Linked DNA regions of Astyanax mexicanus. The protein of the gene in region 1 interacts with the protein of each later gene in a pairwise test. Links are inferred from orthologs where the notes say so. Each region holds a gene or a part of one and is shown on either strand. Other genes may lie near its edges.

Region 1 (7,867 bases):
ACAGTGTACAAACATGTTTATTAGCCCTTCATTAAATAATTGTATCTCTAATCAATCAATCTACAAAATATTGGCTTGCAAATTATTTCAGATTGCTTGAATTTGCATAATTTGTTGGACATCGCTGCTATCCAAAGCTACTGCACTGGTCAAAAACACCCCATTCTTATGACATGAACACATTTTGCATTATTTAGGAAAATCAGCCTAATGGTGGGCTCTTAAAAACAGGAGTAAAAACTGAACAATATTTCATGAACCAACTCACTGAATCAGTAAAACAAGGGCAATTTAGCAGCCTGCTCAAAGCGTTAGCCTCTCTTAACTTCAGCTGCATCACACTAGTAAACTCATTCATCATCCCTGTCTGAAACGGAGGAGCAGAAACCTCCAGCTGTCGTGTCACTGAGGTTGTACGTCGTCCCGGGGATGAGACGGGCTCTCTGAGATTTCCCTTTTAGCCTGATGAAGCAATCCAAGCATACACTAACACACAGAGGATACCGAACCCACAGGCTCAGACTCTACTTATGGAGCTGGTCTGAGAGCAGTCTACATCTGATCACGCTTCAGTGACTTAATGATAATGTCACATTCCCTCCAATTTCAGCTCTATCAAAAAGCGATGTTTCTACAATAAGAGATGATCAAATGTTAGCATAAGATTTTTGAGAAGAGAATTGACTAGGGGTGGGAATCAAAGGGCATATCCCAATAAGATATCACGATACTGTGATTTAGCAATACTTCATATAAGGCAAGACAATTCTCTACAATACTTCAATTCAGTTTTATTTATATACCGCTTTTTACAACAAATGTTGCCACAAATCAGCTTTACAGAGAAACAGGTCCACGCCTCTTATTAGTAAGCACCATAGTGATAGTGCCACCAGTGACGAAAGTGGGGTGGCAACAGTGGCGAGGAAAAACTCCCTTACACTAAGAAGAACCTTAGGAGAAACCAAGACTCAGTAAGAGGAATCCATCCTCCTCAGGTTGACCAAGATAGCACAAACAAATAACAGAACAAAAACAACTGTGATAATGGAGAGCTATAGCTAATGTAGAAACATGTTATGAATTATAGATGTGAGTAAGTGCTTGGCACATGCTCAGTGTTAATATTAAAGTCCAGGCAGTTTAACCATCCATATGTACAGCTTTGGAGTGTGGCAGGAATGGATCAATGCAGTTAGTTATTAATACTGCACGGCATCTGTGTTACTAAAAAGGGCAAAATACTAAATAATATTTTAAGTGATCTAGTTTTTCAAGAGATGTTTATATCACATGTTAATTACTCATATTACTCATACTAGCAAAGTTATAATGATTTACATTGACCTTACACTGAAAGTAAAGGTACTACAAAGTACTACTTTCTTGGAGGATTGCCATAAAAAAATATTTGGTGCCATAAAGAAGCATTTTAACAGATTTTAAAAAATGAGGTTGTAAAGGTTCTTTAAAGACTGGGCTGTTTATGAAAAAAAATTGAAAACAAGCATATTTTACAGTAACATAATTATACAGCTAAATTTTTTTCTATATGTATTTCTAATTTTATCTGATTTCTCCCCAATTTGGAAGACCAATTACCCACCCACTCATTAAGGCTCCCCCTGTTAGTAGTAATAGAATACCATCAACAATGGTAGCACGAAGAAGGCTAGGAAATGCCTCCTCCAACACATGTGAACCCAGACACACCTCTTTTGTATTTGCATTAATAGGTCTGTTTGGAGTGATGAGGGGAGAGAGCGCCATCTACTTACCCAGAGAGAGCAAGGCCCATTGGGCTCTGTTAGACTCCGGATGCTGATGGCAAAAACCCAGTAAATCAAACCGAACAATGGACATTACTAAAGTGAGCAAAACTTATGAGTTCATATCTTCAGACATAAAAAAGTGGAATTTCTCAAAGAACTACATAAAGCACCTTTATTTTAAGAGTGTATATTGCATATAAATCTTCCATACGCTGTCATTTTTTCCTGCACTAATGAGTTTCTCATATTTACACTAATACTTTCCGAACACAAAGATAGCCAGTAGGATCATTTTACTGTTGGTTTGGTCGAGTTGAATTTGATATTCCCTCTATTGTCCAAACAAATGGAGTTTTTAAGTCAGAAAGCCCCACACCCTCTTAAAACGTCTTCTGAGGTGTCATTAAAATGCGAGCATTTCTTTATCCATCATTTACTTTGTTTTCTTATTTAGTTAAAAACACACACAGACACCAGTAAGTTTGAGACCTTTGCATCTGTGTCTGTATAGACCTAATCTACTTCAGAGCTCCAAGCCCAACATACCTGAGGAGGAGCTTGTTGACCCCCTAACAGCATGAAAGGGTAAAGCTGCTGCACTCAGGCACGCTACATCTCCCTCCATACCCCCATCCCTCATTCCATCCCTCTATCCCTCCATCCCTCAATCCATCCCTCACCCCAGGCTCTGAAACACAGAAGCATTAAAACACACACACACACACAAGCATAATCCAACACACAGGAGCTACTGAAGCCACAGGATCAGACTCTGCTTATGGAACTGGTCTGAGAGCAGTCTACATCTGATCACACTTCAGTGAGTGATAATGTTACATGGTAATGACAGTGTTACTTTTAATTTGAGCCTAAAACTAAAGATGAAGGTGATACAAAGGGTTATTTGAGCGATGGTATAGAACAAAACTATTTTTGGTTTCATTAAGAGCTGTTTTTATAAGAGATGTGTATAAAGAACCATGAAAGACAAAAAATGGTTCTTTACTTGCATCTCCCTAAGAACCATCTTGGGTAGGGCTGCATAATTAAAAAAAACAGTCATTGCAGTTTCTCTAAGATATATATACTGAGATTTACAAAAAATACACATATTTATCTGTCCAATATAATTTCATTAATTTAATTTAATTTACCCCTCACTTTCAGTATTTCAGTGATTTTGGAAAGGGGAAAGTTAAATATAATGTTTTACACTAACTTTCCTGTTTTTGAATTTAGCCACAAACTGTCAGAAAAATGAACTTAAAAAGGTTATTACTGACCATATCGGATTCCTGACTTTTCTGTTTGTAAAACATTAACAAAAAACAATGTTTTCCTTTAATCATATCAATAACACATATAGAAACATCTACTGCAATGTCATTTTATTTCTTCCAATATCACGCAACTCAACCTCTTAACCTCAAACCCTCACAAAACATATCTTTCTTTGATTTTATCAAATTGAAAACCTCTGAAATATAATCAAGAGGATGGATGATCACAGCCATCAAACCAAGCCCCTGCGTGATTTTTTGCACCAGGAGTGGCATAAAGTTATCCAAAAGCAGCGTGTAAGGCTGGTGGAGGAGAACATGTCAAGATGCATGAAAACAGTGATTTTGTTATTTTTCAGCAAATGAATAAATGCTCCAAATGACAATATTTTATTTCGAATTTGGGACAAACAATGTTCATAGTCTATAGAGTAAAAGAACAATGTTGATTTTACACAAACATATACCTATAAATAGCAAAATCAGATAAACTGATTCAGAAACTAAAGTGGTCTCTTAAATTTTTCCAGAGCTGTAAGTTATATACATATGCATATGTTTTACTTCCTTTTAGGTAGTCATGTAGTTAGTTAGTTATCACTTTTTTTTTTTTGCATGAACACACCTGAACACCTGAAGTTTAGCCAAGTAATGATGAAACCACACACACACACACACACACACACACAGAGCAGTTAACGAGTCAGAGCCCTGTCTGCTTCTGTTCAGACCTGTGAGTCCCCTAATCTACTTCAGAGCTCCAAACCCAACACACCTGAGGAGGAGCTTGTTGACCCCCTAACAGCATGGCGGGGAAAAGCTGCTGCACTCAGGCACGCCTCTACATCTCCCTCCATCCCTCTATTCCTCTCTCATTCCATCCCTCCATCCATTTCTCTATCCTTCCCTCCATTCCTCACCCAGGGCTCCCAACCGCAGGACCATGAACAAACAAACAAACAAACGTTTATAAACACCACCAGCATTTCATACACAAATAATACACACATATGGTGATTATAGAGACTTACCCGGGGACACTGTACACAAATACCGGACAGAAAAGGGATAAATAACCGGATAAAGAGGGTAAAATAATCCTGTTACCTTCAGCCAGAAGGCGCATAGCGTGAACAAAGGTCGTGTCCAGCGTTTCCTTCTCGGCCATCAGCTCCGGCAAGTACTTGTCCTGATCCATAACCGGCCACCGCTCCTCTCCTGACCGCGGCGAGAGCAGGTGAGACACAGGGGAAGAAAGTGCGGAGAGGCGGACGGGACTGTGGTCTGACTTCGCCTGAACCCTGAGGAGAACTGACGGAGCGGATATCGGTACAACACCGGCTGCTTTCCTCCGTTAGCTAACGGCTGTTTTAATAACGGCAGCGTTATTCAAACCAAAAAATAAACACTCATATCCTCCTCGCGCTCGGTTTAAACGCAGGGCTCTCGTGCGAAAGCTCCCCGCCTATAGCCACGGAATAAGCGCGCTGGCCCCGCCCCCCTCACTGCTGATTGGCTGGGTCGGAGAAGCGAATTCTGGAAAGCGTCAAACAGCATCAACGCTAACGGTATGTAACGATATAATAAGGTATACTGCGGTTAATCACGGTATTCTGTGGATAAATACTAATACTACCGTAATGTAAGATTTGTTGTCTTAAAGGGGACATATTATATCTCTTTTTTACACAAGTTAGACTGTGATGTCATGGGGCTCAGAGTGGTTCAGCGGACTAAAGCCCAATTTATACTTCTGCGTCGAACCTATGCTGTAGCCTGCGCATATCCAGGGGACACATTTATACTTCTGTGTGTGCGTATCAACAGCTCTGCATCGCTCTGCAGTTTAAACCGCGAAGGTGGGAATATGTGCGTGTAAAGCTACGGCGTAGGGTACGCAGCGATGCGTAGGCTAAGGCGTAGGATTGATGCAGAAGTATAATTTGGGCTTTAGGCGCTGCCACAGCGTTCAGGAGATCGCTGGTTAGAATCCCGTTTATGTAGCTCGCCATCAGCTGCCAGAGCCCCGAGAAATCACAATTGGTCTTGCTCTCTCTGTGTGGGTAGATGGCGCTCTCTCCCCACATCACTCCAAAGGGTGATGTCGCTTAGCACAAGGCGTCTGTGAGTTGATGTATTAGAACCAAGCTTGCTGTGATGCTACTCAACAATGCTGCATCAGCAGCAGTTTAAAAACAGGTGGAGCCTGACTTCACATGTATCGGTGGAGGCATGTGCTAGTCTTCATTACCAGTGAAATGGGGGAGTCCTAATGAGTGGGTTGGGTAATTGGCCTTGTACATTGGGAAGAAAATTGGATTTTAAAAAAGTATCAGTGATGTCTGTATCTCTTAAACCATTTTTTTTTCAGTAACAAGTAATCCAACACGTAACTATTTCCAATTAAAGTTACTCATTCACGTCACTGTGTATTATTTTTGGTCATTTTCCTTAGTAAAAAGATATTGTATTGATGAGAAAGATGTTTACACTGGTCGATTTATTGCTGGAACTTACGTTTGCTGTTGATGCTATAACTCATCTAGGGATGTGTGTGGATAAGTGCTTGTGTGTGTTTGAGTGCTAAGTGTAAAATGATTGCATGTGGAACATGATTGTAAAGCGTCCTTGGGTGTCTAGAAAGGCGATATATAAGCGTAACTTTATTCATTCATTTAAGATGGTTAAGACGGATACAGACAGGATAGACAAACAGCATGACCACTCTGGTCGATCAGCAATGTCCAAAATAACCAAAATCAAATGCAACACTAGTAAGTTGGTCAAGCGTAGTGCAAGGTATGCTTTCACTTGAATGACCAGCTTTTCAAACATCTTAAGAAATTGAAGCCTAGCTCAGACAATCCAAATCCAGCTGCCAGCAAAAACTGATCTTGACCAGCATAGGGTGTGAGTTTATTTGTTTAGCTGGTCTACAAACAAAATTAACTATACAAGCTGATCAATCAGCATGATCAACAAGACCCAGCTGGATGACTACACTGGCCTAAATCAAAAGCAACATACACTATGCTACTCAATAGCCAATTAACCAGATAGTTGGTAACACTTTATAATACCGGTACAGGGTATGTTTTCAACTGGATGAGCATCTTGACCATCAAAGAGCAGCTTAGACTATGCAGAACCAATTGTTAGAAAAAAATGGCCTTGACCAGCATAGGGTTGTAGTTTGATGTTTTAGCTGATGTTCAAGCATAATCAGTGATCAAGCAAGGCAACCAGTATGACCAAACTTGAGTGTGCTGGTTGACCAGCTAGATCAAGCTGGTTGATTAACATGGCCATGCTGGTTGACTAATATGGCTGCGCTGGTTGACCAGCATGACCATTATGACCAATTTTGTCAACCAGCATCACACACAAGCAAAATCAATGCAGCATGCCAAATTCACCATGCTGGTCAAAAGCTGGTGAACCAGCTAGACTAACAGCATGTTTTTGTCTAGCTGGATGAACAGCTTCCAACCACCTTAGCCATCAAATACAAAAAAATTGCTTTAGACCTTCCAAAACTAGCTAACAGCAAAAGCTGATATTGAACTGGATTTTTCAGAAGTGCTTCAGGCACTAAACATTAAAAAAATTCTTTTAAAATAAGGAGATGGTTAAAACCTGTAGTTGAATACTAAATCATTGGTTTACCTTTACAGATTTTGAAGAGTGGTCACTCACGGCCTCCAATGTCAATGTCAAGTCCTTAGATCCCTAACAGAAATTCTCCTTACTGGACCATCATGTTGGACTTGTGCTGAATTGCCTTGGGCTGAGCATAAAGAAATAATCATACATGTACCTACATACATAACCTAGATACATAAATACAAGATGAATTATGGCATTGTGCTTCATTTCTGGAGCTGTTTATTCTTGTTTGTGGTACCAAAAATGTGCGAGTTGTAAAGTGGTTTAAGACTAATGGCGCTTGTGTGGGAAAGGTAAGCTAACAAATGAAGCAAGGTGAAATCTGTCTTAAGGAAGACACTTGTTCCATATTTATGGCAGGGCACAAAGTCAGCTCAATTTGTCGTGTCCGTGAATACTAATCAATGGCGTTTCTGTATGCCTCGGTTTGCCAAGATGGATTAGGCATTTGTGACAGGCAGTCTATAGAGGGAAAACATGCACAAACAAACACAAGCACACACATTCACACACATACACTTAAACACATGCACCAAAAGAGAGAGAGAGAGGGGCAGGGAAGTGGGGAAAGACAGAAGGAGGAGGAGGAGGAAGAAGAAGAAGGCCTGCTTGCCTAATTAATGACTGAATGGATTACTGTGCTGTTGGCAAACATCTGTACACCCAGTGTCACATTCAGCGACTGCCTTGTGAGAATGTTCATAGAGCCTCGGTCCACTGGAACGCGGTGATTAGACGCCATGTACCAAAAATTGGTCTTTCACTCATGCGGGGACACTGCACGCACCAGTAACCATCAGTATTTATCAGATGTTTTCAAAGTAACAGTGGTTTATAAAATGATATCCAATTGATCTACCGCAGTCCAGTGCAGAATTGCCCCTGCACATAGTCTGTTGACTGGCTTCTGATTTAAGGGAAAGCAGGACACAGCTAAACGCCACATTCTGGATATTTAAAAATGGTTTATCCTAACAAAATCTACATATCTCTTCCACAAATTAAAATTAGATTTTGTTCCCGGCACAATCTATTTGTGGAAAATTCAGCACAACAGGGTAACATAGCCTAAAGGCAAGGTTAATTGTGACTGACAGAGTGGCTAGCTGAAACAGTCAGTTGAAAAAAGTAGATGCGAACCCAATTAAT
Region 2 (5,842 bases), on another chromosome or scaffold:
GTAACAAACCAAACTGTGTGAAAATAAAGTTGTGATTAGTATAGGTGTATTAAACACCTTCCTCAGTGTAAATAGATGCACTGGGCACTGGGAGGCAGGCTATGTGGAAGCTATGTATATATGTCTGTCATTATCAGTACAGTGATGGCGGCACCCGGAGCTACAAAGAAGCACTATGGGATGTAATGTCAGCGCTCTCCAGATTCTACCAAGGAGGTGTGGAGCTACTTTGAGCCTGGATAACAGTGTAAAAAACGATTTATCGGGGCAAAATATGCCCTGATACGGCTGTTGTAAAGAGTGCTGGGCAAAAAGCACAAAATTACTGGATCTCAGAAAGCTGTAGGAGAGCAGAGGTAGGCTATTCAACAAAGGTAAGTACTTTTTATCATGTTTTACTATATCAAAAGTCAATTTTACACCAGAGTTCTCCATTTCATTGTTAATTTTATCAGTTCCACTGACCATATAGGAGCACATTGTATTTATATAGTTAGACTTTTTCAATTGGTCGATTAGTCAATGATTATTTCTGCCATGTCCTTCATCTCTAAAAATTATAGAAACAGCTGATCATGATACATTAAGATGCATTTAAATGCCTAGATGCTGTTTATACGTGGAAAGTACGGACATTTAGTGGGTAAATATGTAATGTGTTGTGTTTGGGCACTTTTGGAGACACTGTTGGAGACACTGTTGGAGAGTGTGACCTGTTTGAGTAAGACATTTACCTCGCTCCCATTGCACTTCTGTCTCCATTACTTTGTGTAATGCAATACTGTTACAAATTAACGATTAATCGACAGTGAGATAACCAAGATTAATCCCTGGACAGAGCACCAGCCCCCCCATTCATTCATTCATTCATTCACACACTCATTTCCAGGGGCAAATTAGGGACAGAAACCAAAGTGGGGCCCCTGGAATATTTTTCCTATTAAATCAAATCTACCCTGATTAAGATTTACAGCCTTCATGTCTGTGTTTCCTCTTTGTTTTCAATTACATGTTAAACCACAAAAATGAACAAAGAACCCTGAGCTATGAGGAAGAAACTTCCAAAACGATCTGTCTTATCTGTCTTCTCATTCTTTTAGTTCTTTCAGTGATTACAACCAGAAAAACAGCATTTCTCACATTCTTCAGTCGTGTCCGCCATCACAAAAATGTGAGCGGAAAATGCCAGTAACATTTACGCATTATTCTCGATTCTCTTGACAGCGCAGTAAAGCATCAACATCAAAATAAAAACTGTTTACCATTATTTTTGAGGATCTTAACAGCCACCTTGACCATGCCTTTCCAGGTGCCGCGGTAAACATCAGCGAAGAATCCAGACCCCAGCTGTTCCTCCAGGGCGAACTCCTCCTTGGGCAGCTCCCAGTCGTCCACAGTATTGTGGGACAGGTCCTGTGGCTTCGGCTCTGGCTATAAGAGGAGAAAAACAACAGGGGAAATGTGTGTTAAGCATTATTAGGCATAAGTGTAGGCCTGATGCTGTAGACTACTCTTATCTGTTGTGCTACCATGAAATTATATAGAGCTGTTTATGGTCATTCTTACTCACTGGTGATTCTTACGCATGCCCATATTTCCTGCTTTACATCACACAACTTCAAGAACTGATAGCTCACATGTTTTACAATATATGTATATCCCAACACAATATTATTCAATTAACATCAGTAGTTATAATGTTATGGGTGATCGGATGTATCCACAGTAATAATCAATTAGTACGGATATTTTAAATCCACACCCCTGACCATATCACAGCTGTAAATAAGCTCCTGTAAATAATATGAGCGGGGGGCGAGTGGCATTCAGAACAACAGCAACAAGTATTTCCGGAAACAATTCCATCAGGGCTCAGCAGCAGCAGTCCGAGCAGATTTCTCCCTCCTATTAAATCATTTTCACTCCAGTTACCTCACACATAACACATGAGCCAATGAGTGAGGTCATAACTCACGTAGCTCACATACAGTACACACTCACCCGTGTGCAGGGCTCTCCGAGGAGGGTGCCGGAGCTCAGAGGATGGCTTTTATAATGCTCCACTAACTGCTCCAGTCCGGGGAAAGTGGAATCAGGGTCCACATAGAAACCCTCCTCATCCTCATAAACTTTAAAGTGCTTCACCTCCTTATCGCTTAGTCGAACTAACAGACAGAGAGAGAGAGAGAGAGAGAGAGAGAGAGAGAGAGAAAGTGGGATATTAGATTAGATTATTATACATGAGAGATCCTATTATCCTGAATTTGCATTAAAAAAAACACAGTATCGATTAGAGATGCATAATAATATGGGAATTACATCAGTATGGATCGATAATTCCCTTTTTCTTTTTTTTTAACCATTGGAATCGGATGATATGGCCAACATTTCAAACTGATATTTGCTGATGTATTTATTGTATGCTGGAAAAGGACCAAACAATGCTTTCTGTGCTACTACAACTGGCCATGTTACTTTAAAATATATTGATTTAAGCTCATTTTTGTTTATTTTTATTAGTTTCAAAGTTACCAGGGTATCTAGCTTCTTCTCTGTTATAAATATGCATATCGGCATCAACGTCAACAGATATATAAAGGCTTAGAATTCCCACATCGGTGTATCCCCAGTATCTATATATTTTTTACAATTATTTACATGTAAACATTGGTGTCAGACAGTCGTTCATTTAGTGTTGTAATTAAACCCTGCCCACTAGATAGCAGTGTGGAACTCACAGTTATTTTTTTTTATATTAAAATAATCACGATACATCACCTACAGTGTCACAATTAATCACAATATATTGAATTTTAAGCCCTGTACTGTTCTACATATTGTATACAGCCCTAGTGCAGAGGGAGTCTATTTTGTATTATACCAGTTTGCTAGTTTAAACTATGCCATCCGCAATATGGTGGTTTGGAAAGAGAAAGGAGAAAAGGAGTCAACATTTATTAGTGTTCAAACACTAGTGATTAGTGATCAAACTGTCCTTTTTTTTTATTAGTCAATATAATATTTTTATTTTTACACCTTACACATATTTTTTACACCCTATTTAACTACGCAATGGTGAAAAAAGTGGAAAAATAAATTCTGAAAAAAAGAAAAATTCTGTTTCAGAAAATTTTAATTTTAGTGGATCCCTACCTGTCATGGGAACAAGATAGAGATTGTATTTACACAATTTTAGACTGGGAACTGGAAAAGGGGGGATTGTAATTTTATAACACCTCTAAATGAGAAATATACAATGACCTTCTTTCACTTCACATAGACAAGTCACAATGTACTGCACTGTACTTCTGAACAATTCACTTACCTGACAGCACACAGCCCACCTCATCCCTTTCACTGCGTCGCAGCAGAAATGCACCGACCTTGTTACCTGCGGCCAAAAGCAGTTTCTGGGTCTCCAGGCGATTCAGTGACCCAAAATACCATCTGAAAAAAAACAGGAGATGACATTCTTCCTCACCAGGTAATTTAATTTTCTTTGACTAGTGAATTACCGTAGTTAAAAGGGAGTGCAGATGTTAAATCCTTCTGGATCACACTAGGGACCTGAACAGATCTTAGATATTGTAAGTATTATTCTGTGTCCCATCTGAACCTGGATGTTAGGATTTCTGAGTTCCAAATAGGACATTTTAACTGGAATGCCCCTACAAGCCACATTTCTCACAAGTCAGAAGAGCCTCATGCTGTGCTTCATTTACCTCAAACATTAGATATAGGAATGACATCACAACCCAACAAAACCCATCTAAACAGAGGTACGATACAAGTACTTTTCTGTACTTAATGTACACTTTTCGTAATTGTACCCTCAAAGGTATAATATTCTGTATAATAATATTCCAATCTTTACAGTGTCTGATGTGTTCCTTCAGAAGTACAAAGTATTTCCTTACAGCAGGTAATACAGATTTGTACCATTTAACCAGTCAAAATGTACATTCTGCATTCCGTATCACTGTACTAATAAACAACATATATTGTGATTATACATGTTTCATTTGAAATCCAGACAATTTTGGATCATCAAGTTCTTGACACATATTCAGGTGATGATGATGTTTATAATCTTTACTGGTACAAAAAAACATGGGTATAAAAAAAATAATTTTACTGAAAACTACTCTATTATACCTCAATATAAGGTACAGCCCAAGAGACAAGCTATATACTCTTTAAGTACAAATCTGTACTTACTTTTCTTAGTGTTTAACAGCAGGAAGTACAGATTTGTACCATTTTACCAGCCAAAATGTACATCCTGTGTTCAGTATCTCTATACTAAAAACAATACATATTGATGATGTTTATAATCTCTCTTACAAAAAACATGGGTACAAAAAATACTTAAATATAATTCAATAAAGGTACAGCCCCAGTTTTGTACTCTTTTAAGTACAAATCTGTACTTTTTTTCTAAGTGTGTTCAGTGCACAACAAAAATAAAGGATTTTTTTTTTTGCAGTTCCTGTACTTTAGGAGGGACTGTATGTGAAAACACTCACGGTTGTTCCTCCAGGGTCTGCTCTTTTGCCAGGTAGTTGGAGGGCACGAAGCCCTCAGCCTGTATGAGTCCCTGCGGGCTGATCTTCTCCACCCGACACCACTCTCCCTCCTGCTGCAGCATCCTAAACGAGTCTCCAGTCTGGAAGGAGAGCTCGTCCACGGCGCGGCCCTGGAAACTCCACAGCGCCTTATACAGAGCCCGGGCAGCTGGCGGGTCCGCTGGCTGGGCTGTGGGCGGCTGTGTCGGCGGCTGGGTGTAGTTGTAGGTGCCGATCTCTGGGTTCTCGAAGTTGGAGTCTCCATCTCTCTGCTCTGCTGCCTCTCCCTCCTCCTCCTCCTCCTCCTTCTTCTTCTCTGCCTGTGTGAAGAGGCTGGAGAGCAGAGTCTGGAGGCTCTGGAGACTCGGGCAGGGGCAGCGAGCCTCCCCCTCAGGACCCTTCATCTGGGTGGAGGTGAAGAGACTGAGAAGTGTGTGTCTACATCTCCTCAGAGTGTGTGTGAGTGAGTGAGTAAGGTGTGTGTGAGTGTTGGGGCGGATGTCTCAGGTTGGGCAGGTGTATTTATGGGAGGAGCTTAAAAAAGAAAAAAAAAAACTTTCCATAAAACAGTTGCTATTGGATCATTACCAGAATTGTTGTGGTTTGAGGTTTTCATAACTTTCAAGAAAATGAATTATGTAGGTAAATCATTGAAATGCCTACATTTATAAAAAACATCTACAAAACATTGATATATATATATATATATATATATATATATATATACTTTTAACAAACTTAAAAGAAAGGCTGTCAATCTAAACAGGCAGAATTGTGAAAGAGTGGTTCAGGTAGAATGAGATCATCATCTTCACACATGGATTGTTCACCACAGAGTCCAGACCGTAAAAAAGAGAACTCAGGTGTAAAATGGACTTTTGGTCTAGTAAAAACATGATAAAAAGACCTTACCTTTGTTGAATAGCCCAGCACTCTTTACAACGACCGTATCAGGGTATATTTTGCCTTGATAAATTGCTTTTTACATCTTTATCCAGGCTCAAAGTAGCTCCTCAACTTTTAGGTAGAATCCAGAGAGCCCTGACATTTAAAAAGAGGCATTAATAACTTAAAAAGTTCAAAAGAAGCTTATTAAAAACCACTGTTTACATCCCATAATGCTAACTTTCAGCTTTGTGTGCCACTATCACTGTACTGATAATGACAGACATGTATATACATAGACTCTGCATAGCCTGCCTCCTGGTGTAGCAGCCAGCGCCCAGTGCATTTAATTACATATATATATTATATATATATATATATATATATATATA

The links.
Region 2: the proteins of khdrbs2 (region 1) and ptk6a interact in binary tests that used the Homo sapiens proteins (3 or more experiments, as listed by UniProt). The two-hybrid records come from large-scale screens. The link is inferred for Astyanax mexicanus from reciprocal best matches to the Homo sapiens genes KHDRBS2 and PTK6.

Annotation. Positions count from the first base shown.
Region 1 is NC_064414.1:43,133,645-43,141,511, reverse strand, and holds the start of khdrbs2 (KH domain-containing, RNA-binding, signal transduction-associated protein 2), read right to left. Parts: upstream 4,497-7,867; 5' UTR 4,251-4,496; coding exon 4,160-4,250; intron 1-4,159. UniProt on the Homo sapiens protein: RNA-binding protein that plays a role in the regulation of alternative splicing and influences mRNA splice site selection and exon inclusion. Binds both poly(A) and poly(U) homopolymers. Phosphorylation by PTK6 inhibits its RNA-binding ability.
Region 2 is NC_064419.1:39,950,873-39,956,714, forward strand, and holds the start of ptk6a (protein-tyrosine kinase 6), read right to left. Parts: upstream 4,987-5,842; 5' UTR 4,970-4,986; coding exon 4,527-4,969; intron 3,448-4,526; coding exon 3,326-3,447; intron 2,166-3,325; coding exon 2,002-2,165; intron 1,432-2,001; coding exon 1,263-1,431; intron 1-1,262. UniProt on the Homo sapiens protein: Non-receptor tyrosine-protein kinase implicated in the regulation of a variety of signaling pathways that control the differentiation and maintenance of normal epithelia, as well as tumor growth.